Linked DNA regions of Elephas maximus indicus. The protein of the gene in region 3 purifies or fractionates together with the protein of the main gene of each other region. This does not show direct contact. Links are inferred from orthologs where the notes say so. Each region holds a gene or a part of one and is shown on either strand. Other genes may lie near its edges.

Region 1 (7,728 bases), on a different chromosome or scaffold from region 3:
CAACGTATTAACAGAAATCTTACTTCTTCCCACCCTCCGCCTCTCATTTTCCTCCAGCCCCACTAGCCTCCTAACAGTTAGTTCCTCAGACACTCCAAGCATATTCCCACCTCAGGGCCTTTGCCCTTGTTGTTCCCTTCAGATGGGAAACAAGCCTCAGAAATCCTGTGTTCTCCTACTCCTCTGGTCCCCTTCATACTGCATGTTTTGTTTTAGACGGATAACAGTCTAACAAGATATGCAACATATTATTGTTATTGTCTCTTCTTTGATTAGGACACAAAGCAGGGATGATGGTCTGTTTTGTTCCCTGATGGGTTCCAAGGCCTAGAACACTGCTGACATGCAATAGGTGGTACCCTCACCTCCTTCAGGTCTCTGTTCAAAGTCACTTCCTTCCAGAGGCCTTCTCTGAGGTAGACCCCTCCCACCCCTCAGCTCGATTTTTCTTCTCAGCTCTTGTTTCCATGATGTGCAACCTGTGCAGGCACCCAGGCCCCAGCCCCACATTTTCATCTTGCCCGGACCCTGCAAATTCTGTCGCCAGTTCTGGCTGTTTGCCCCAGTGCCTGGAACAGCACGTGGTAGACACTCAAGGATTTGTGGAATGAAGGAAGGCATGGAGGAGTGGATGTCCAGGGGAGGCTCACAGGCCGGAGACAGCAGCAGAGACGCACACCCCGCCGCCACTGGACACATATGGACATCTGCAGACATCAGCTCAATATAAGCCCGTGAGTGGGAGGCAGGGTGAACTGGCCTGATGCCCCAGGCGGGGGGCGCCTCTAAGCCTGCCTCCCTCCCCGGGCAGCAGGCCAGCTGGGGCGGGGGTTCAGATGGCAGAGGAGACAGCGCTGGGCAGCTTGGGCCTGTCACCTGGCAGCCCCACAGCCCTCAGAAGGAGACAGGGATGGGTGGCCACACAAGAGAGAAAGTAGTGAGGATGAAGTCCCTGAGTATCCCCTGATCATTCAGGCCTGTAGAGGGACAGTAACTATCCAAGGTCCATGCCTGGAGCTGGAGCAGGGCTGGGAAGGACTATCAGGGGCCCCAGACACGTGTGCTCATGTGCGGCTTTGGACATGGCCACTTGTGTATACCTGGACAGACAGAACTTTCTAAGATTGCGTTGTGTAGCGTGCACACATGACAGGTTGACATCTGGGGGTGGCAGGGAAAGAAGCATGTGGACACAGCAGGAAGCAGCATTTCACAGGGGTCAGAAATGCAGGTTCTGGGCTCAAATCCCTGCTCAGGCCCTTACTTAGGCTGTTGGTTTGGACCTGTGTATGGTATTAGTGTCATTAGGTTTGTCTGGGTTTGAGTGCACAGGTTGCATGCGTGCATGAGGTTGTGTTTGAAGAGTAATTTAATCCCTCCAAGAGATCTTCCTGGATATCCCACTTGAAATGTCACAGGCCCCCTATTCCATCACGGTCCTAATAACAATTTGTTATGTATTTATTTGTTTATATTGTTTCTTTTCTGTTTCCTCTATTAAATGTCAGCTCCATGGGCAGGGAGTTTGGTTCCCCAGCACCTGGCATATAATGTTTTTGTTCTTAGGTGGTGTCAAGTCGGTCCCGACTCAGAGCGACCCTATAGGACAGAGTAGAACTCCCCCATATGGTTTTCAAGGAGTGGTTGGTGGATTTGAACTGCCCACCTTTTGGTTAGCAGCCGAGCTCTTACCCGCTACACTACCAGGGCTCCTGGCATATAATAGGTGCTCAATAAATACTTGTTGAATTAAAGAAGGCAGGGCTGTGTCTGTGTGGGTGTGGGGGGAGTGGTGGGCGCTGGCTGGGTATCACAGGAGCCAGGAGTGCCCTGTGCTCAATTCTGCTCTCTAACCCCTTTCTGTCCTAGCTGTTCACAACCATTCATTTATTGTTGCTAGCTGTCTTTGAGTCTGCCCTGACTCATTGGGACCCTATGCACAACAGGACAAAACACTGCCTGGTCCTGTGCCATCACCATGGTCACTTTCCGATTGGATCATTGTGATCCATAGGGTTTTCATTGGCTGATTTTCAGAAGTAGATTGCCTGGCCTTTCTTCCTAGTCCATCTTAGTCCGGAAGCACCTCCGCTGAAACCTGTTCAGCGTCATAGCAACACACAAGCCTCCACTGACAGACGGGTGATGGCTGCACATGAGGTGCATTGGCTGGGAATCGAACCCAGTCTCTCACACGGAAGGTGAGAATTCTACCACTGAACCACCAATGCCCCATCTGCCCTGCTGTGTCGCCTATGTCTTTCCCCTTCTCTGGGGCTCAGCGACTCAATCGTCTCATCTGTAAAATGGTGGCCGGGTGGAGGTTGGATTGTTTCATGATAAGCTCCCTTCCTGATCTAAAATGCTATGAACCTAATTTCCCCTTTAATTTGCTGAACATTTATTGAGCACCTACTGTGTGTCAGGCACTCTTCTGGCCCTGGCCCTACCCTCCTGTAGCTCAAAGAGAATGAGGAAGACATGAGCCAGAAATCTCATTTAATCTTGAGTGCGCCCTCCCCCAGTCCCTCTCCTCACCTGCTGGAATTCTAGTCTTCACAGTGTGGAATCACCTTGGGTATTTCTCTGTTTACACACTGATCTTGCTCCCTCATCAGCCTGGAAAGTCAGCAAAGCAGGGACCCCTAGGTGCTGTTTATTACTGCAGCCCCACGCCTTTGCCAAAGGGCCTGGCGTACAGTAGGCACTTGGGGGAATAGGTGTGGAATAGGCCAAGAAATAAATGATGGAGCAAAGGGAGGCTTGGCATGCATGACTTAATAACTTCCATGAGTCTGTCGTTACCCACTTCGCAGATGAGGAAACTGAGGCTCAGGAAAGCAAAGCCACTTGCTCGGTTCCCGCCGCAGCTAAGTGGTGTGTGGCTGTTGGATGCAGCAGAGGAAGCAGGGGTAGCGGAGAGGAGTAGTCCCAGCTCCCACCCCACCCCGCAGAAACAAGAGACACAAGGGGGTGCACTGATGCGGCGGTAAGACCAAAAGACAGCGTAAAGCAATTCAAGGGTCTGTCTCTCTCAGCCCCCAAGGCTGGAAATGCTTTGCTGGAAGGAGACTACGAAATATTTGGCGCTGATGGGGAAGCTGCCTATTCCCTGTTGCCAGCTCTAGAGATCTGGGACGCCTGAGACTCTGTTTCTCGGCAGCTTCAGGTTCCAAAGCCGGGGAGGAACCCCCCGCCCCGTGCCTACCGGGGAATCCCCTGCATCCGGGGTCCTCCCCACACACCCGGAGCCGGGCGGCTGGGCCGAAACCCGCAGAGCGCAGACGCGGTGCCCGGGTTTTCAGAGAGGCGGGGGAAACACCCCCCCGTTCGGGCCCCCACCGTCCGCGGCACTGGGTCCCTTTCCCGCCGCAGTTCGCAGCACGAAGCTTACCTTGCAGGGGGGCTGGGGAGGGAATGTGTATGTGTGTGCGCGATTGTGAATCCCGCCGGTGTGTGGGTACGTGCGCGCGCGTCCCCGGGCGGTGACGGCCGCGGAGATGCTGGACTGCCAGGGCTGGAGGGGGAGGGGGGACTCCCCCGCCCCCGCCCGCCCACTCGCGGGCTTGAATGGACCGCTAGGAGGAAGGTCGGCAGCGGGAGGGCGCTTTTGTCTGTCTGTCTGGACCCTCCCTCTCCCCCGGACCGGGCACTCCCTGCCCCCCCAAACTGGAGACCTTTCCTCCGTTCTCTCCTGTCCCCCAATCACTGACTTCGAGGGAGTCTGGGAAGTGGTGCCCCTCGCTCGGGTGCCAGAGCTCCTCCCATCCGCTCCCAGCCGAGCGTCCTTTAATCTGATAATCCTGGCCCAGGGCTGTAACCAGGCCTTTTATCTTGGTATCAAAGCGTGGGTTGCGGCCGGGGTCCCCCAAGCTCAGAGTAATGGAGTCTTTGGAGCCTTGACAAGGAAGGGGCCCCCGACGAAAAGGAAGGAGCTAGGAGCGGCCCCAGACAGCGGCGCCCAGGAAAGCCCCCCATCCGCCTCTCCACGCTCCTCCGCCCGGCGCGGGGCCAGGAGCATTGGCCCCAGGCTAGACATTAGCGACACTCAGTGGCCGCGCGTGGAGACAGGCGCCAGGAAGGCGGGGGGGAGGGGAGGAGCCCGGGTGATTCCAGTGGGACGTGTGTCTGTGTTCGAGTCCCCGTTCAGGAGAGGCAGAAGACGGGGGCGGGAAAGAGACCTGGAAGGTGGAGGCCGATGTCTGAGCCGAGGAAATACTAGCCCCTAAGGGCAGTGCCACGTCGCCTTCAGATTGGAAAGGTCCCCTTAGATCACACACCCTTCCCAGCGCAGGGCTAAGTGTCCCCTCACAAGAGGCAGGGGGCGGGCCTTCTCTGCAGTGGGCTCAGGTTGACGTCATGCGGCGTGGCCAAGGGGACAATCCCCGCCCTTACTCTTGCCAACTGCCCTTTGAGGCCGCTGCAAACGCTCACCGTGGGGCGGCGAAAAATGAAGGAGATCGTGGCTGGAGCGCCCTCCCGTGTGCCCTCAGGAGGTGCCCATTGGAGCCCCCGGGCCCGCTGAGGCGGGGTCTTAGTGGAGACTCCCCGCAGCCAGAACACGTGCGCAGTGCCCTTTAAGGCGTGCTCGGTCTCCAGTGGCGCCGCCGTGGTTACTAGGGATGTGACGTCACGAGTGGGGGCGGGCGTGTCCGGCGGAAGCGGAAGGGGCGGGGCCCCGCGGCCGTGTCTTCAGCACCGCTGCAGCCGCCGCCGCCGCGGGAGCCGGAGCGGGCTGGGCCGCTGAGGCAAGATGGTGGACTACAGCGTGTGGGACCACATCGAAGTATCTGACGATGAAGACGAGACGCACCCCAACATCGACACAGCCAGCCTCTTCCGCTGGCGGCACCAGGTATAGTGCACGCGCCCGCCCGGTTCCCCGCTCGCCCGGACCCGGCTCCAGAATTCTGACCCCAAGTACGGGCCAGGGACCTCTCCTTTAACACCTGTGCTCCCACCTCACACTCCGGATTTTTATTATCTCCCGGGGTCCCTCGATTCAACTCCAGAACCCTGAGTACCGCCAGGACCCTGTCCGTCTTACTGCGATCCCGAGACCCCTTTGATGATCTGCGTGGGACTCCCTATTGACCCCTAGAACAATTTTCCCAGTCTAGGTTCCCAAGATAAGCGTTGGGTATATCCTCAGTCCTGTCCGCGATCTTCCATTTACACTCAGAACCCTGCCTCAGAGCCTGGATCCTCAATTCAGCTAGGTGATTTGTGGTCCTATTTGGATCCCCACTTCTGAGCTGGGATACTCCACTAGGCCCCCCAATCCTAGGGTCTGGAACCCCAATACTTTAATCCTGTCTGGAATCCACCTCCAGGGGTCTTGATGGGAATTCCTAGTCAGATTCCTGTTCCTAGGCTTGGGACCCCAACCTGCACCTGGGACCCCTTCCCTAGAGGTGAGATTTGCGATCCACCAGTGTCCTCATCTTGCCTGTTGTTGTTTCGAATTATGGCGACCCCATGCGTGCACAGTAGAACTGCTCGGTGGGGTTTTCAAGGCTGTAACCTTCCGGAAGCAGATGGCCAGGCCTTACTTCCAAGGCACCTCTGAGTGAGTTTGAACCGCCAATCTTTTGGTTACTAGTCCAGCACTTAACTTCTTGCACCACCCAGGGACTCCTCGGTTCAGCCTAGGACCAGGGTTTTGGAAACTCCAGACTCAGTCACCAGCTTCCATCCTGTGGAGTTTCCAGTTCTGACTGTCCTTCAGCCTCACATACTATAGATCTCATTTCCCATTACACTGGGAAACCTGTCTCCATGGCTTCCGGCCCAGCCAGAGCCCCTGCCTGTGTTTAATATTGCAGACCCCATTATCACCCACCTCCAAGACAGGCCTCCCGTGTGAACCTCTGCCAGCACTGGAAACCCACAGCTAAACCCAAACCCAGGACCCAACACCCACCCTGCCTTACCCTTTCCCGCAGCCTGGTCTGCCATTATCTGATGCCCAAATTGGTCCTGCACTCACCCAGGGACCCTACTGATTTGATTTCTAAATTCACTACCCCTTCTTTTATCTGTCTTCCCACAACACAAGTACCAGTTGCCATCGATCGAGTTGACTCCGACTCTTGGCAACCCCATGTGTGTCAGAGTAGAACTGTGCTCCACAGGGTTTTCAGTGGCTGATTTTTCAGAAGTAGATTGCCAGGCTTTTCTTCTGAGGTGCCGCTGGGTGGACTGGAACCTCCAACCTTTGGGTTAGCAGCCAAGCACGTTAACTGTTTGCACCACCCAGGGACTCCCACAAGAGAACTCCCAGATCCAGAGCTCAGAATCCCAAGTCTGTGTGACCTGTGACCTGCCACCCCGTCCTTGACTGGTAGTGCTCATGGGCCAATAGGATGACTCTCATAAAATCTAATGGTCTGATCCTCTGCTCCCCCAAATCAGAACTCCTGTACCCCCCACACCTATGCCCGTTATACTCTCAAACTGAGGGCTTATGCTGGCTAGGAGTTCTCCACCTCCTCCTATATGGCACTTCCCAGTCATTTATCCAGAAAATCCTCAAAGGGCACTTCCCCATCCTTATGGGACCCTACACTGGCTCCTGTATCTGGTCCCCAGTTCAACTTTGAGCCTCCCATTCCTTAAAACAGCAGTCTCCTGGGTAATGTACCTGCTGGGCAAGCCACTCGTATATGGGAGGAAGGTTCTAGCACCTCTGTTTCTTGCTGTGTGTAACATTTTGTTATGAAATATTTAAGACCTTCACAAAGCTCTAAAGAATGTTCTTGGGAATACCTATTTCTGTCTATAAAAGAGTTAATCTTTACTACTGTGTAGAGGTGATTTGGTCCCCATCCCCATGCCCGGCTCCCCAGTGCCAAGTGCCAAGGGCAGGGTGTCTGGGCGATGCCCCCTTTCCTGCAGTGTCCTCTTCCAGCCACACCCTCCTCCCTGGCCCACAGCCTTTTCCTGTCTGGCCGCTGAGAGCCCCGCCCCTTTCCTTCTCTTAAAGGCCCTGTGGCTGTAGTGGAGGCGGTGGCCTGGGTGTTTCCAGCACCAGGTTCATGGACAGGCAAGCTTGGATTCTGATCCCAGCCCCACCGTTTCCCACCTCTCTCCGTGTGAAGTGAGGTTCATAGGCCCCATCCATGAGTCCCTGTGAAATAGGGATAATATGGCCCTGTCTTTATGAAATTGTCGGAATGAAAGAGATTAGGTTTGAAAACAACCGGGCTCAGGGCCTGGGAGGCAGTGTTCCAGAAAAGGAGGTAGGCTTAGTTAAAAGGTAGCCTGGTGCCTTTTGACTAGCCCAGCTCCTTCTGCACCACTGACAAGCTGTCTCAGTTTCCCCAGCTGGGAATATTAATAATATCAATTTTGTAGTGTTGTGAGAAATATACTACTTAATGTCTGTAGTGTTTTGTGGATAGTATCTAGTACATAATCTTTCTATAAACGTTAGCTATTGTCATTGTTAATATTTAGGTAATTCATGGTCGTGGTGAAAAATTCCAAAGCTTCTAGTAGGGATAAGAGGACAAATGAGTCTTGCTTCCTAGCCCAGCTCCCCAGTTCCCTTGCCCAGAGACAGCCACTGTTCCTGGTTTTTTGTGGCTCCATCTAGTAAGCTGTTCAGCAGTGAGGTTCGGTGGCCTAGGTTTCCCCATCTGTAAGGCAAGAGGGCAGTGATTCCAGCTGCCGTGGCTCCTGGCCTGCCTAACCTGCTATGGGCCCTTCGTAACATGAGGTGTAAAG
Region 2 (7,936 bases), about 69 Mb from region 3:
AAACTCACATAAAGGGTGATGGGGTAGCCTATGAACTGGGAGTGTTTCTTCACTACTTCTTTGACTCGCCTCTCTTCTAAGTACTCTGTCTGGTCTTCTTTAAGGTGCAGAATCACTTTCGTACCCCGACCAATGGGCTCACCTAGAAAAAGAAGTCACGTGGAACTGAACGTAACAGATAAGACCATGTAACTGTACTGTAAGACAAACTGCTTCACGATGTAACAAAATTTCTACTACAGAACACCCGCAAACAATTCTAAGACTTTTAATCTTTAACACAAAATCCACAGTACTTACCGTGGTCAGCACGAACTGTGAAAGAACCCCCAGCAGAAGACTCCCAAGCATACTGCTCATCATCATTGTGTTTCGTAATCACAACCACTTTCTCTGCCACCAAATAGGCAGAATAAAATCCAACACCAAACTGCCCAATCATGGAGATGTCTGCACCAGCCTACCAAAGAGTTAAAAAAAAAAAAAAAAAAAGGCCAGTTTTGAAAGAACTGCAAGCTGAAGAACGTGGATGAATGTAAATGGTGTGTGCCTAGCTAAAATGCTACATACCTGCAGAGCCTCCATAAATGCTTTGGTCCCAGACTTGGCAATGGTTCCCAAATTATTTATGAGATCAGCCTTGGTCATGCCAATGCCTGTGTCCACCAGCGTCAGAGTGCGTTCTTGGGGGTTGGGGATGATGTCGATTTTCAACTCTTTACCACTGTCTAACTTAGAAGGGTCAGTCAGACTCTCATAACGAATCTTGTCCAAGGCCTGAAAATAATACAAGTAACAGCTTTAGAATCTGCTTCCTTAAGCTCCATCTCTTCATCCAAAGAAAACCCTTAGGTTTTCTACTCCCAAACCACCCACTGCCATCAAGTCAATTCGGACTCATACAACCATAGAGTAGAACCGCCCCATATAGGTTTCCAAGGAGCAGCTGGTGGATTCAAACTGCCAGCCTTTTGGTTAGCAGCCACCAAGGCTCCTTTTTACTCCCAAACAGCCCCAATTTCTGATTACCCCTTAAAACAAGGCTAAAAAACCAGTCACTTAGGTAAGTGGTCTCCAAGAAGACCCCCTTCTCCTCCCTTTGAAGCTCAACATGGACCCACAGACAACAAGGTTCATTCCCTTCAACAGGGTACGGTTCACTCCAACAGTTCTTGTGTGCTAACTCACAGTGACCACACAGGACAGAGCAGAACTGCCCCAGTTTCCTAGGCTGTTATTTTTATGGGAACTCTCCAGGTTTCTTCTCCTTCACCAGTAAGCTGGAACTGCCAGCAGCCCAAAGTGCTACCAGGGGTTCCTTCCTTCAATAGATGCCCCAACCAAATGTCAAACTACCCATCTCCCTCTTCTGGAATGCTCGGACTATACCAGAAACTCACATCAGAAGCATTAGAAATCAACTCCCGAAGGAAAATTTCCTTGTTGGAATAAAAAGTATTGATGATGAGAGACATGAGCTGGGCAATCTCTGCCTGGAAAGCAAAGGTCTCCACCTCCTCGTCTCCATGGTGCACCTCCTCAGGCATCTGCAGTAAGAACAATCAGATATTACAAAGGAACAGAATACCCAGTGTTTGCCCTTTCAGTCCCAAACCCCTAAATTCCACCCCGGCCCATGTATCAAGACTAAAAAGTGGTTTAGTTCAAGGGACTTTGGGCTGAGCACTACTCACTGCCAAGAAACTGGAGGCCCTATTCTATTATGATTTTCAGAAAAACCTAGAACATTTCAACAAAACAATTTTTGGGGGGAAGGTAAGTAAAGCACTGCTACTCATTGGCCCAGGAACCTCGTTTTCTAGCACCGTGCTAAAAAACACAGAACACCGGCCCTACCCCAGGTATTTTGAACGCCCAGAGAAAACCCTACTAATACAGGTTCACATATGCAAAGCATTACCGTTTTCGACGTAAAGACTAAAACAACCTGAATACTAAATTAAAACTGAAACAGCACTAATTAAAATTAGTCCTCCATTAAAAATGTCTAATTCCGAAGAATACGGAACCGTCCAGGCACCAAGAATGCTGGCCCACGCGGAAGGGGAAGGCAACATGAGGATCGATGGAGAACCTGTCCATGAAATGCAATTAAATAGGACAAAGAACGAGAAAACAAAAGCTCCAACACGACCCCACAGCTACAAACTAAAACCTAAAACCAGAGCAAACAACTAAGATGGTGGCCGCAGCCCGCCGGACCGACCCTCGTCACTGCCGGACATGCGCCGGCTGCGGCCACGCGAGGAGGGGGCGCCGCCGCACAGCCCGCCTCCGCCCCAGCATCCGGGCACCGGGGCGGGGCGCCTGGCTCCAGAAGCTTCCAGAACAAACCCAGTTCTCGTCAGGGGCGGGAGTGATACAGAACCCATGAATCCTTCAAAGCCCCTCCCCCCCGGAATGCCAGAAAGATCTGGAAACAGGGATGAAACACGGGGGGCCGAATAACGCCGAAAGCGTCCGTGTCCCATCCCACCCCCGCCACGGACCCTCCAAAAAACGGATCTGCTGGACTTGAAGAACACCGAGCAAGTCAGCGAGTGAGGCTGGCTTCACAAGGCTGTGCTGAGTCACCTCAAACGCGCAGACCCACAACCTTAAGGACCCTTGTGCGCCCCGTAGCCACGTCCGGAAGTGTAGGGGCCAACATGGCAGCGTACCGGACCCGCGCGGCCACCACGTGCGGCTGACCACCACTCTAGACCCACACTGCGTCCCACCTCGCCCGGAGCTAGTCGCCAACTAGGGCAAACTCCGCCATCACCCAAACACATAAAAACGGAATGAAACGAAGACAAATTCGAGACCCCTTCCCACTCCTGAGAGAAAAGGAGACTTGTCCCAAGGCCGTTCCCGCACAATACCTGGAACTTGGAAACGCGAAAAGAACAACTCAAAGAAACGCTCGCGGGAGAAAAGCCGGGGAGAAGATCCCAGCCTTACCTTGAATGGGAAGGGTGACAAATACCAACGAGTCCTAGCTAAAGCCCGTGCACAGCTCGCACGATATAAAACCGCGCGGCCGGAGACTCAAGAGACCTGCCTTGCGCCCCCACTCGCTCTATATAAAGCGAAGCACAACCCGGCACCCCGGCCCGGGATCCCTCCGCCTTAAAGGAGGATGCCCGTCAGCACCGCACCTGCAGCCGCCCGCCCACCTGACGTCATGGTCCAACATGGAGTGCTGGGGGGAGATGCGGGGAGGAATAGAAGAAGCCGACTGGCTCCACAGACGCTGGATCACTGCATCAGTAACATCTACTGTGTGTTCACACACGTCTTTTATCGTGTTCACAGTCCGTTCTCTGCAGATAAAGGGCATGACCCCACCAGGATTGGGGGATTGGGAGTGTTTATATAGCATAAATGGTGACCTTAAAAAAAAAATTGAGTAGCCGCTGGCTCTCTCTAGATTTGGGGGGAATATCTGGAAAAGACCACAGTTTTAGGTGTGGGCGGCTAACCACGCCACCTCAGCTCCCAGGCCCAGCCGTCCTCCTGGAACGCTCCACACATCTCAACAAGACGGTGGGGCTTCCTTCCGGGCCTGTGTGGAACGCGAGGCTCAATTTCCGGACAGACCCCTCAACCCCGGCCCACCTGGGAACAGGAAGATGGGCCGGGGTTTGGCTAGGGGGCTGGGCGACGGCTGGGGGGAGGGGCGCTAGCTGGCAAGGGAACTTTTTGCCGGCGCTCGGCGGAAGGAGCGGTGGAGGTACTGCGAACCTTCCAGCAGTTTCTAGGCTGCTCTGGATGGCCCCGCCCCCGCTCGTCCTACCGGTTTCGCCCCTCCCACTGCGGCCGGGGCCGCGTCTCTGCGCCGGTTCTGTGCGGCGCTTCGGTTTTCATCCGAATTAGTGTAGGCGGCCGGAGGCTCAAACCTGCCCATCGGACCAGCGAGACTAGCCTTGTATGGGGGCGGAGGAGTGGAGTGGAGTGGAGCGTAAACGGGGAGATTTACTGACACTTTTTCCCCTACTCTATCAGTCACACAACACATGGGCTGTTGGGGCGGCTCCCGGGGCGGCTCCCCGGGCGCCGACTTCACCGAGCGGCTGGGGACAAAATCGGTACCAAGGACCTTCCCGGGACCTGCTGCCGCCCACGTGCAGGGGGCGCAGGGACTTGCATCCTCCCTACACCAGCACGTAGACGTTTTTTCGAAAGCTGTTTTTTTATTTTTTTTTTTTCCCTTGGGCCTGTGGGCGGTGGGGGGGGGCGGTGGTGGAATCTCCAGGGACCTGTGCAGGGTGACGGAGGTCTCAGAGGCGGCATGAATATGCTGGCCGAAGGACAGCACGCTCCAGACGACCCGAACCAAATTTGTTCCCCTTTGGCTGCAGCACCGGAGCACCAGGCCGTGCGCCTGCCTAGCGAGCTGCTGACGCCAAGCCTCTCCTGCCTCTCTGCCCCTCGTGCTTTCCTCTCCGGCTGGCAAGCTGTTCTGCCTTTTCAAGGCTTCCTGCGGGAAGCCTGCAGGACTCACAGCTCCTCCAGGGGAGAATGGTGACTCCCTGTTGTGTACATGTTCATCATCTCCTTTCCCTGTCTTCTCTGCACCTGGAATATTGGGGAGGGGTTCCCCCACCACCACTTTTCGGTGCTCCCTCACCAGCCCTGGCACCCGGTCTTCCTTCAAATTCTTTGTTCTTTGTTGAATTCCAGAGAACGAAAGACTCCTGCTTTTCTCTTCTTGCCGCGGCACTCTTCCATCCCATAATCTCTGCTGCCACCACACACTTTTTATCTTACCTTGCCGTTCTACGTGCCTTTATAGGATCTATGAGAAGCCTAGGGCCACGAGAAGTCCGATGAGTGTGGGGGTCTCATAGGCCATGCTGTCAGGAATTCTCCAGCATGCTCTGTTTCTGATCAGATCTCTAACCAGAACCTCATATCTCAGCATACCCTTTCTCAGAAATCTGCTCCCCAGTCACAAAGAACATATTCACAACATCTCACAGCCTTGAGGGAGGTAAAAGCAACTCCGCCTTCCATGGACAGGGAAAAGCAGGTTTCAGTGACACCAGAATCACTCAGCTGAGAGCCCTTGTTCCTCCAGCTCTGTCCCTGCTCCAGAAATGGGTTGGGGGGTGCTGTCTCCCCTCTGAGACCCAAGTCCAAAATGGACCAGGAATTACTCCTGTGGATGGGCTTCCCCTGAACTGGACTCCTGCTCTGTCACAATAGGGCCCTCTTCCAGCACTTCCCCAAATGAGAAAATCTCAAACCTTGAGCCAGTGCAGAAATTCCACCTTTTTCAGTGCAAAAATTCCACCTTTTTGTCCAGGAAGTCTGTAAGGATGACCTCTACCTGTGTCCAAGAGCTCTACCCTGGGGATGCAGGGATGTCCACACAGAACAAGGAGCCCCCAATTGAGTGGAGCTGTAGCAGGCCAAGTGTGAGACAGAGGGGTATGGGAGGAGCAGCAGAGGCCCCAACTTAGGCTGGGGAAGGGGGCATGCTTAGGGGTATGGCACAGGTCTACTCCCAGGAGAGGGAGAAGTATGGAAAGGCACAGAGATCCAAGAGAGGGACCAAAACTCAAAAACCCATGAGGTCAATATACCAGGAGGATATAACCATTGTAAATATTTATGCATCCAAGGACAGGGCTCCAAAGTACATAAACTTTAATGGCTTTGAAAAAAGATAGCTCCAAAATAACAGTAGGAGAGTTCAACACACCACTTTCGGAGAAGGACAGAACATCCAGAAAGATGCTCAATAAAGACAGAAGATCTGAATGCCAAAACCAATGGTTATGATTTCACAGGTATATACAGAACGCTCCAACCAGTGGCAGCCAAATATATTTCGTTCCCAACACACATGGAACATTCTCTACCGTAGACTATATATTAGGCCACAGAGCAAGCCTTAATAGAACCTAAAACATCGAAATATTACAAAGCATCTTTTCTGATGATAAAGCAATAAAAGTAGAAATAACAGAACAAGCAAGGAAAAAAATCATAAATGGAAACTGAACAACACCTTGCTCAAAAACTACTGGGTTATAGAAGAAATTAAGGACGAAATATAGAAATTCATAGAATCAAATGAGAATTAAAACACTTCCTATCAGAACTTTTGGGACACAGCAAAAGTGGTGCTCAGAAGTCAATTTATAGTAATAAATGCAGACATACAAAAGGAAAAAAGGGCCAAAATCAAAGAATTATCCCTACAACTCAAACAAATAGCAGCAGAAGAAGACCTCAGGCAGCAGAAGAAAGCAAATAATAAAAATTAGACCAGAATTAAATAGAGAACAGAAAAACAGTTGAAAGAGTTAATGAGACCAAAAGCTAGTTCTTCGAAAAGATCCACAAAATCGATAAACCGTCGGCCAAACTGACAAAAGAAAAACAGGAGATGAAGCAAATAACCCAAATAAGAAATGAGATGGGTGGTGTCACAACAGACCAAACTGAAATTAAAAGAATCATAACAGAATACTATGAAAAATTATACTCTAACAAATTTGAAAACCTAGAGGAAATGGATAAATTCCTAGAAACACACCACTTACCTAAACTAAGAAAAACATAGGTAGAACAACTAAATAAACCTATAACAAAAGAAGAGAGTGAAAAGGTAATTTAAAAAACTCCCATCAAAAAAAAGCCCTGGCCCTGACAGCTTCACTGGAGAATTCTACCAAACTTCCAGAGAAGAGTTAACACCACTACTACTAAAGGTATTTCAGAGCATAGAAAAGGATAGAATACTCCCAAGCTCATCCTATGAAACCAGCATAATCCTGATATCAAAACCAGGTAAAGACACCACAGAAAAAGAAAATTACAGACCAACATCCCTCATGAACTTAGACACAAAAATCCTAAACAAAATTATAGCCAATAGAATCCAACAACATATCAAAAAAATAATTGACCATGACCAAGTGGGATCCATACCAGGTGTGTAGGGATGGTTCAACATTAGAAAAACAATCAATGTAATCCACACGATCTTATTAATTGGTACAGAAAAGGCATTTGAGAAAGACCAACACCCGTTCATGATAAAAACTCTCAGCTAAATAGTAATAGAACCACACGACAACTAAGAGCCCAAGAGACAGAAAGGGCCACATGAACCAGAGACCTACATCATCCTGAGACCAGAAGAACTAGTTGGTGACCGGCCACAATCGATGACTGCCCTGACAGGAACCACAGCAGAGGACCCCTGAGGGAGCAGGAGATCAGTGGGATACAGACCCCAAATTCTCATAAAAAGACCAAACTTAATGGTCTGACTGAGACTAGAGGAATCCCGGCGGCCATGCTCCCCAGACCTTCTGTTGGCACAGGACAGGAACCATCCCCGAAGACAACTCATCAGACATGAAAGGGACTGATCAGCGGGTGGGAGAGAGACACTGATGAAGAGTGAGCTAATTATATCAGGTGGACACTTGAGATTGTGTTGGCAACTCTTGTCTGGAGGGGGGATGGGAGGATAGAGAGAGAGGGAAGCTGGCAAAATTGTCAAGAAAGGAGAGACTGAAAGGGCTGACTCAAGAGGGGGAGAGCAAGTGGGAGTAGGGAGTGAGATGTATGTAAACTTATATGTGACAGACTGATTGGATTTGTAAACGTTCACTTGAAGCTTAATAAAAGTTATTTAAAAAATAAATAGTAATAGAAGAGAGATTCCTCAACATAATAAAGGGCATTTATACAAAGCCAACAGAAACCCATGAAGGAGGCAGGAGGACCCCAGACGACAGGGGTTAGGTCACAGAGGGCTGCAAATGCCATGCTAAGGAGTTCTGATGTTAAAGAGTGAGGGAAGTTACGCGAGGCTGTAAAGATGGGCTTCAGACTACCTGGAGTCTCCTGAATCCTTAATCCCAGCACTATGTGCAACCCTCAATGTTCCTGAAATAGCAAAGGCCCAGCC
Region 3 (7,740 bases):
AGGAAGACTCCTTAATAACCTGAGATATGCAGATGACACAAACTTGTTTGCTGAAAGTGAAAAGGATTTGAAGCACTTACTGATGAAGATGAAAGACCACACCCTTCAATATGGATTACACCTCAACATAAAGAAAACAAAAATCCTTACAACTGGACCAATAAGCAACATCATGATTAATGGAGAAAAAATTGAAGTTGCCAAGGATTTCATATTACTTGTATCCACAATCAACATCCATGGAAGTAGCAGCCAAGAAATCAAAAGACGCGTTGCATTGGGCAAATCTGCTGCAGAAGGCCTCTTTTAAAGTGTTAAAAAGCAAAGATGTCACTTTAAGAACTAAGCTGCCCCAGACCCAAGCACCTAGTGTTTTCAATCGCCTCATATGCATGTGAAAGCTGGACAATGAATAAGGCAGACTGAAGAACTGACCCCTTTGAATGATGGTGTTGGGGAAGAATATTGAATATACCATGGACCTGGACTGATGGCACTGGGTTGGGTGGGTATGGACTGCCAGAAGAATGAACAAATCTGTCTTGAAAGAAGTACAGCCAGAATGCTCATTAGAAGCAAGGAGGCAAGACTTTGTCTCATATACTTTGGACATGTTATCAGGAGGGACTAGTCCCCGGAGAAGGACATCAAGTTTGGTAAAGCAGAGGGTCAATGAAAAACAGGAAACCCTCAAGGAGATGGATTGACACAGTGGCTGCAACAATGGGCTCAAGCATAATGATTATGAAGGTAGCACAGGACCAGGTTGTGTTTCCTTCTGTTGTACATAGGGTCACTGTAAGTCAGAACTGACTCCACGGTACCTAACAACAACAACAACATATAGTTGCAAGAGCTCTGCTGCTAGCCAAAATGCCAGAAGTTCAAATTTACCAGCTGCTCTTTGGAAACCCTATGGGGCAATTCTACTCTGTCCTATAGGGTTGCTATTCTGTCCTATAGGGTTGCTGAGTCAGAAAGGACTTGGGTTTGGGTTTTGGTTTATACACTTGTTCAAAGAGCCCTGGTGGTGCAATAGGTTAAGCGTTTACTGCAAAGGTCAGTAGCTGGAACCCACCAGCCTCTCCACAGGAGAAAGATGAGGCTGTCTGCTTCCGAAAAGATTACAGCCTTTGGAACCTATGGGGCAGTTCTACTCTGACCTATAGGGTCACTACAGATTGGAATCCACTCCACTGCAAAGGGTTTGGTTTTGGATACACTTGTTCAGACCATTAGCAAATTCTCTCGAGGAGGCCAAATCCATTTAAAGCTACATTTAAGAAGACCAGCAGATAAAATGATAGGCAAGAAAAGAATTGCAAAAACAGGATGAAGTCTCGATGGGAGCAAGTTAATCTATCATTTTAATTTCATTGTCTCTTCTTTTCGTCCACTAATTAGATCAAGAAGCTGCTAGAGTTGCAGAGGCTAAAAAGTGACTGAGTCCTTTTGAAGAAGTCATAAACAACGAGCTGCCTTGCCCCATGTCTTAGTCATCTAATGCTGCTATAACAGAAAAAACAGAAGCGAATGGCTTTAGCAAAGAAAAGTTTATACTCTCACAGTCCAGTAGGCTAGAAGTCTGAGTTCAGGGCACCAGCTCCAGGGGAAAGCTTTCTCTCTCTGTGGGCTCTGGAGGAAGGTCTTTGTGATGCATCAGTCTTCCTTTGGTCTGGGAACATCTCTCTGCAGGAACCTCAGGTCCAAAGGACACGCTGTGCTCCAGGTGCTGCTTTCTTGATGGTATGAGGTCCTCATATCTCTCTACTCGCTTCTTTCTTTTACATCTCAAAAGAGATTGGCTTAAAATACTACCTAATCTTATAGATTTTATCAATATAACTGCAACTAATCCATCTCATAACATCATAGCCATAGGATTTACAACACATCACATCAGATGACAAAATGGTAGACAATCATACAATACTGGGAATCATGACTTAGCCAAGTTGACAGATATTTTGGGGGGGACACAGTTCAACCCATGACACCCCACCTGCTCCAGATTTCATATAAAATAGATTGAGTCTAATGTGGAATTCCAAGGAGGACTACATCCTAACAATGATTATTCTTGTAATAGATGAGGCTAGTGTGAGATTAGGATTACTATTTCACCGATTTTATGTATGAGGACACTAAGATTCAGAAGGGTTAAGTGTCTTGGCTTATCAAGGTGCTCCCACCAGAGCACTATAGAGCTGGAATCAGAAACAACTCCATTCCTCTAGACCAGTGCAGTCCAACAGAAACAGAATGCAACCTACATCTGTTATTTTAAATTCTCTAGCAGCAATATTAAAAACATAAAAGAAACAGGTGAAATTAACTTTAATGATATATTTCTTTAGAACAGTATAAACAGATTACCATCATCTTAACATGTAACCAATATAAAAATTATTAGATATTTTACATTCTTATTTTTCATGCTAAATGTTAGAAGTCAAGCGTGTTTTTTACAGCACATCTCAATTTCCACTAGTCAAATTTTAAGTACTCAAGTACATTTCAAGTACTCATTAACCATACATATATGGCTACTTCACTGGACAGAACACCACTGTGGCGGTGGTTCTCAAGATGTGGTCTCCAGACCAGTAGCATCAGCATCCAGGAACTTGTTAGAAGTGCAAATTTTTGGGCCCCATTCCAAACACACATTATCAGACCCTCTGTGGATAGAGCCCAGAAATCTGTGTTTTAACAAGCCCATTGAGATAATTTTGATGCACCCTCAAGTTTGAGAAACATTGATCTAGACAACTGCCTCTCCAATCCCAGGCTAAATAAATCCAGGACAGTCATGGAAGTCTAAGAACTAAGGAAGAAGAGCCCCTTCTCTTGAGATACGCAATTCTTGGCTAGATGAGGTTGGCATTCTCTTGTATGGAAATCTTCTAGACCTAGCTGTGGTTCCATTTCTTGGAAGTATGGAATGAATTACCAGGCATACAATTTAAACATGGTTTTATTTTTTGCTTGTTTAAGAAGAAAAAAGCAAAAACAAAAAGTAGTAACCACTCTGTATCATCTATCCCCTTGAGTTTCTTCTCTTTTCTTCAGTTTCCTCATCCATACAATGGGGATCCTTCGATAAGTGTTAGCAACTTTAAAAAAAAAAAAAAAATTACTGAGTACAAAAAAGAAAAGAGTCAGCACAACTGATTTTTTTTTTTAATTAGTGGGCAAGAAAGGTAATATTATAGATTTTGAGCATAGAAGCAGAAGTTGATTCACTTATATTTCTTAGAGCATTAGTTTTGCTGAGAGAGGAGGGAGAGTTTTTGCCAACATCGTTAAGGAGAATGATTCTGGGCATGCCTTGAAGCAGAGCTTTCTGTAAACAGGAATTACCTATGAAGAAAATCAGGAAGCCAACGTGTTTCTTTTCATGAAGTTACATCCTGCCATAGAAAAGCTGGATAGGAAATAAAGACTGATGCACTCCACCACTGTATACTATACACCGGCTATTATTTCATCAAGGGAAACCTGAGCAAAGGCTCAGATTCAGTGTAGGGAAAAAGCCATGGAAAATCAAAGACAACCACTGGCTACAATTAAACATGATTTTGGGAAGAAATGTACAAACAAATCTCTACTCTGTGATCGTGGGTTCCTTTGTCACAGCCTCCCTCTCTCCCCGTTTCAGTAACACTTCCTCGAGATTTTTGTTTGAAAATAGAAATATGTAAGTATATCTATGAAAATGGAAGACAAATATATTAATTCCTAACTTTTTTTTTTTAGTTTTTATTATTACTGTTGTTATTATTTGCTGTGTGCGTTTCCAGGGTTCTCCCAGCTTTTCCAGTTTCTGTGGTAGAATTCTACCTTGCTCCGTACTCTTTTCAGTTTGACCAGAAGAAACGCTTTCCTACTCTAACATTTTCGCATTTTATCCTCCGACCCTTAAACAAAAAGACACCAGAAAGGCATGGCACCCCATTTTCGAGGCAGGTTCCTATGTTTGGGGGAATGGAAGATGCTAATCTGCAGTGGCATCAGCAACCTTCCATAAAGCAGAAACCGCAGCTCACACCTCCTCTCCTTTCCCCGCCCTAACCCACCACCTCACAACTCCACAATCCTTTAAAAACAAAAAACTCCTCCAACCTCTCATCCCGTCGCACACCCCACAACGGCACGCACGCCAGGATGCCGGCTGCCACAGTAACGCTGTACCCACTCGGCCGCCCCACCCACTGCGGTCCCGCCCCCGCCCCAGGAACCAATGGTCGCCGCCCGCAGCTCTCAAGGGGCCCTTTGATTGGGGAGCGGGGGCTGCCACTCTCACGGCGCGTCCCGCCCCCTCCTCGCCTCCCTCCCGGGCTGGAGGGGCGCGAGCATCAGCGGGAGTAGCTGCGAGCAGGCGGTGCGTCTTTGCAGTTGCGCCATCTGTCAGGAGCGGAGCCGGCGGGGAGGGGGCTGCCGTGGGAGAGGAGGAGGGGTCGCCGCGAGCCGAGGGCCTCCGAGACCCGCCCGCCCGCCCGCCGGCCTCGGAGCAGAGGCCAGGCTGCTCTCCGAGCCGCGCGTCCTCCGCCGTCCGGGCGCGCGGCGCTTCTCCCCGCGCACCGAGGGCTCCCGGGCTCACACAAAGCCGCCGCCCGCGCCACAGAGGGACCCGGCGGCCGGGCCGGGGAACCCCGGCGCCGCCCCTCTGCTCTCTCGGAAGGCGCCCCGGCTCCGGGACCAGCCGAGTAGCCGCCGGAGCCGCCTTGGCCGCGCCGGAGGAGGGCGGGGAGAGGACCATGTGAATGGGCTCCGGAGCCTGAGCGCCGCGCAGGTAAGCGGCCGAGGATGCGCGCGGGAAGCAGTGGGGATGCTGCGGGGCCGCCCGGCCTTCGGCGCCCCGGTTCCGCGCCCCCCCGCCGCGGGGCCCCGCGCTGCAGTCCCTCGGCCGCCGCCGCCTCCCGGCCTCTCCGCGGGCTGCCGGGGAGCTGGCCGTGCTCGGGGACTTCCCGCGGCCAAGCGGGAGGACACCTCTGCGGAGGGCGCCGCGGGGCAGCGCAGGGATGGGGGCCCATTTCCCAGCCCGCGAGCCGGCGCCGAGTGAGAATAGGAATTGGCTTGGGGGCGAGGCTGGCCGGGACTCGGGCTCCGCCCCCGCCCTCCTTTCAGGGCCCCTCGCGGGAACCAGGGCTGTGTGTGTTGTTTTAATGTCAGCGATGATGTAATCACTTAATAATTGATGCCCCGTGCTGCTTCCCTCCCCACCCCACCCCACCCCACCCCACCCCTGCCCCACTCCACCTCTCGGCCTCCTCCTCCCTCTGCGGCCGTCTCCTTCCCCTTCGCATCCTTCTGCCTATTTCTGGCACCTCCCTTGTACTTCCCCCATCCTCCCCTTCACTCTTCCTGTGCCACCACCCACCCACCCACCCACCCTTCCTCTTCCCCTGTGCTGGAGCCTTCCCTCCTCTTTCTCTGCCCCCTACTCCTGCTGTTCCCTCAAGCTTCTTTCTCCCTTCGCCGATCGCTGTATTTCCTCTCCGCTTCCCTGGATCGATGGCTGTTTTTTTTGTTTGGTCGCCTCCCTTCTCTTATCTCTGCGGCCACAGGCGGAGATGACTGGACCAGAAAGAGGCCACCGAGCTTGGGTCCAGGGAGGAGAATTGCTAAGACTCGTTGAGAAGAGGGATAATAAAATCACCCTTCTTGTCCCTCCTCCCCCAGTAAATCACACAGGCTCCCCGGGTGTGTGTGTGTATGTGTGACACAAAGGGCTCTTTCAGTGCACAGAGAAGAGACACACAAAGTACCCAAGGATGGGCCCGATGCTTCTTGTTTCTCTTCCCTAGGGCTTCGCTTTCGCTCAGATGAAGCAGTTGATCTTCTTTGTGAGAGTCTTTCCTGCCACATTTACCAAAAAATAAAAGGCCCCAGATGCAGGGTGGCAGGTGCCGGCATTTTGCTGTGTTCATGGGGCATTTTACTGTGTTCACGGACCGGCAGTGTTGACTGGCAGCTGCAGCGTTTCCTAGATTCAAGGAGAAAATGATTACAGCAGTCTTTTAAGAGTTGCTTTAGTGTTCTAGGTAGCTCCACCTTCTTTTTTTGAAATTGGGTACCATGAGTTGGGGTTCGATAAGTTGGCGTGGGAGCAGAAGAATTTTGTTTCTAAGTCAGAAAATTAAATTGGTGTTTGATAAGAGCGATGCAGCCTGACTTGCTGCTTCTCCCAAGTCTAAGGCCACTGCGCTGAAGTCTTTTGAAAAGGAATCTTGTCTGCCCAGTGATGCTGGTTTACCATTAGGTTTAAATAAGTACCTAGGGACATTAATAAAACAGCATTGAATTGGCATTTGGAAGACTGCTGGAGACTGTCTCTTCCCTGCTTCAGGGTAGCCTTCAGACGCCCACATCCTTCCTCACACCCCCAAGCAACTGCAATACTTTCCACCCTTTGTGCTCTCTTTCTACCCAGTCCCTGCCCCATGGGTACTGTGATTTCTGATGAAGAGACCCACGGACTTTCAGAGGAAGTGGTTTGTTAACTATCTAAGGCTTTGGGGACAGTGAGATATGAACAGGGATATAGAGAATCTTTTGACTGAACTCTAAACCATCTGCTTGACGTTCCTCTTAAAGAGGAAATGGTAATATAAATCTGGGGGCTTATGTTCCATTTTGTAAGCCAGTGATTATTTCATGCTTAGTGGATAGTGTCAAAGCTGAGGTTGAACGTGTTGACTCCTAGGAACATGGCTCCTTGACTGTTATAAGTAATGGAACAAGTTTATTCTTAAAGACTTTTACTAGGAAGGAGCTGTTACGGTTCATTAAACGTTTACTTCTGCATTTTCTAAGGACATTCATCGTGGAACTTTTACATTAGAAAAAGCAATGGGTTAATGAGTGTATTATAAAGACAAAGGGTTGTTTGTTTGATTCCAGACCCAGGAAGGAGAGTCAGTGCACAATAAACTCACACTCTTTTGACCAAGTTAAAGAGACTTCTTGCATAAGGCTGAGTGTGAACAAAACCACACTCTGCTTTCTGTGTTTTTGCTCCATGCTTTCTCCTGGGTCTGAAATCCCCAACCCCATCTGACTTGCTTAGCAAAGTCCTATTTAACTTTCAGGGCCCAGCTTAAATGTCATCTCTTCTGTGAAGCCTTCCGTATTTTATATCATCCAAACAAGTTATCGTGCCTCCTCTGTATCCGTCCACCCCGAACTATTTTATTTTCAAGCTTCAATAGCAGACATTATGTTTGGTGTGTGTGTTTCCACCATTGCTTGGTCAGCACATCGTGAAAAGGAACCTGGCCTTATTTATCTTGTCTCTTATCAAGTGGTACCTCAGTAGTTTCTAGTGTGAATTAGTCTTTGGTATGTGTTAAAAAAAAAAAAAAAGTAGGCACTGCATATTAATTAGGCTCATGTTAGTAGGTTTGACAGATCACTACCACTAGTTGTCGCTGAGTCGACTCCAACTCATGGTGACCCCATGTGTGTCAGAGCTGAACTGTGCTCCATAGCATTTTCAATGGCTGGTTTTTCAGAAGTAGATCACCAGGCCTTTCTTCCAAGGCACTTCTGGGTGGAATCAAACCTTCAACCTTTCATTAGCAGTCAAGCACATTAACCATTTTCATTACCCAGGGATTCCATTTAGCAAGTAACCCAAAACCCACTGCCCCCCCTAATATAATGGCTCAAAAGCAATAGACTTTTATTCTTTCTCATGTTCAGAATGGGTATTTTTGGCCAAGGAGTGAATTTCCT

The links. The genes of interacting proteins can lie anywhere in the genome.
Region 1: the proteins of FYN (region 3) and CDC37 purify together in Homo sapiens (affinity purification with mass spectrometry; 5 studies listed by BioGRID and IntAct, counting the BioPlex papers as one, with this or other methods). This does not show direct contact. The link is inferred for Elephas maximus indicus from reciprocal best matches to the Homo sapiens genes FYN and CDC37.
Region 2: the proteins of FYN (region 3) and HSP90AB1 purify together in Homo sapiens (affinity purification with mass spectrometry; 4 studies listed by BioGRID and IntAct, with this or other methods). This does not show direct contact. The link is inferred for Elephas maximus indicus from reciprocal best matches to the Homo sapiens genes FYN and HSP90AB1.

What each region holds. Positions count from the first base shown.
Region 1 is NC_064821.1:28,499,649-28,507,376, reverse strand, and holds the start of CDC37 (hsp90 co-chaperone Cdc37), read left to right. Parts: upstream 1-4,651; 5' UTR 4,652-4,753; coding exon 4,754-4,855; intron 4,856-7,728. UniProt on the Homo sapiens protein: Co-chaperone that binds to numerous kinases and promotes their interaction with the Hsp90 complex, resulting in stabilization and promotion of their activity. Inhibits HSP90AA1 ATPase activity.
Region 2 is NC_064819.1:108,806,448-108,814,383, reverse strand, and holds the start of HSP90AB1 (heat shock protein HSP 90-beta), read right to left. Parts: upstream 3,078-7,936; 5' UTR 2,965-3,077; intron 1,548-2,964; coding exon 1,401-1,547; intron 778-1,400; coding exon 571-777; intron 461-570; coding exon 301-460; intron 143-300; coding exon 9-142; intron 1-8. UniProt on the Homo sapiens protein: Molecular chaperone that promotes the maturation, structural maintenance and proper regulation of specific target proteins involved for instance in cell cycle control and signal transduction. Undergoes a functional cycle linked to its ATPase activity.
Region 3 is NC_064819.1:177,871,753-177,879,492, reverse strand, and holds the start of FYN (tyrosine-protein kinase Fyn), read left to right. Parts: upstream 1-4,704; 5' UTR 4,705-4,795; intron 4,796-7,740. UniProt on the Homo sapiens protein: Non-receptor tyrosine-protein kinase that plays a role in many biological processes including regulation of cell growth and survival, cell adhesion, integrin-mediated signaling, cytoskeletal remodeling, cell motility, immune response and axon guidance.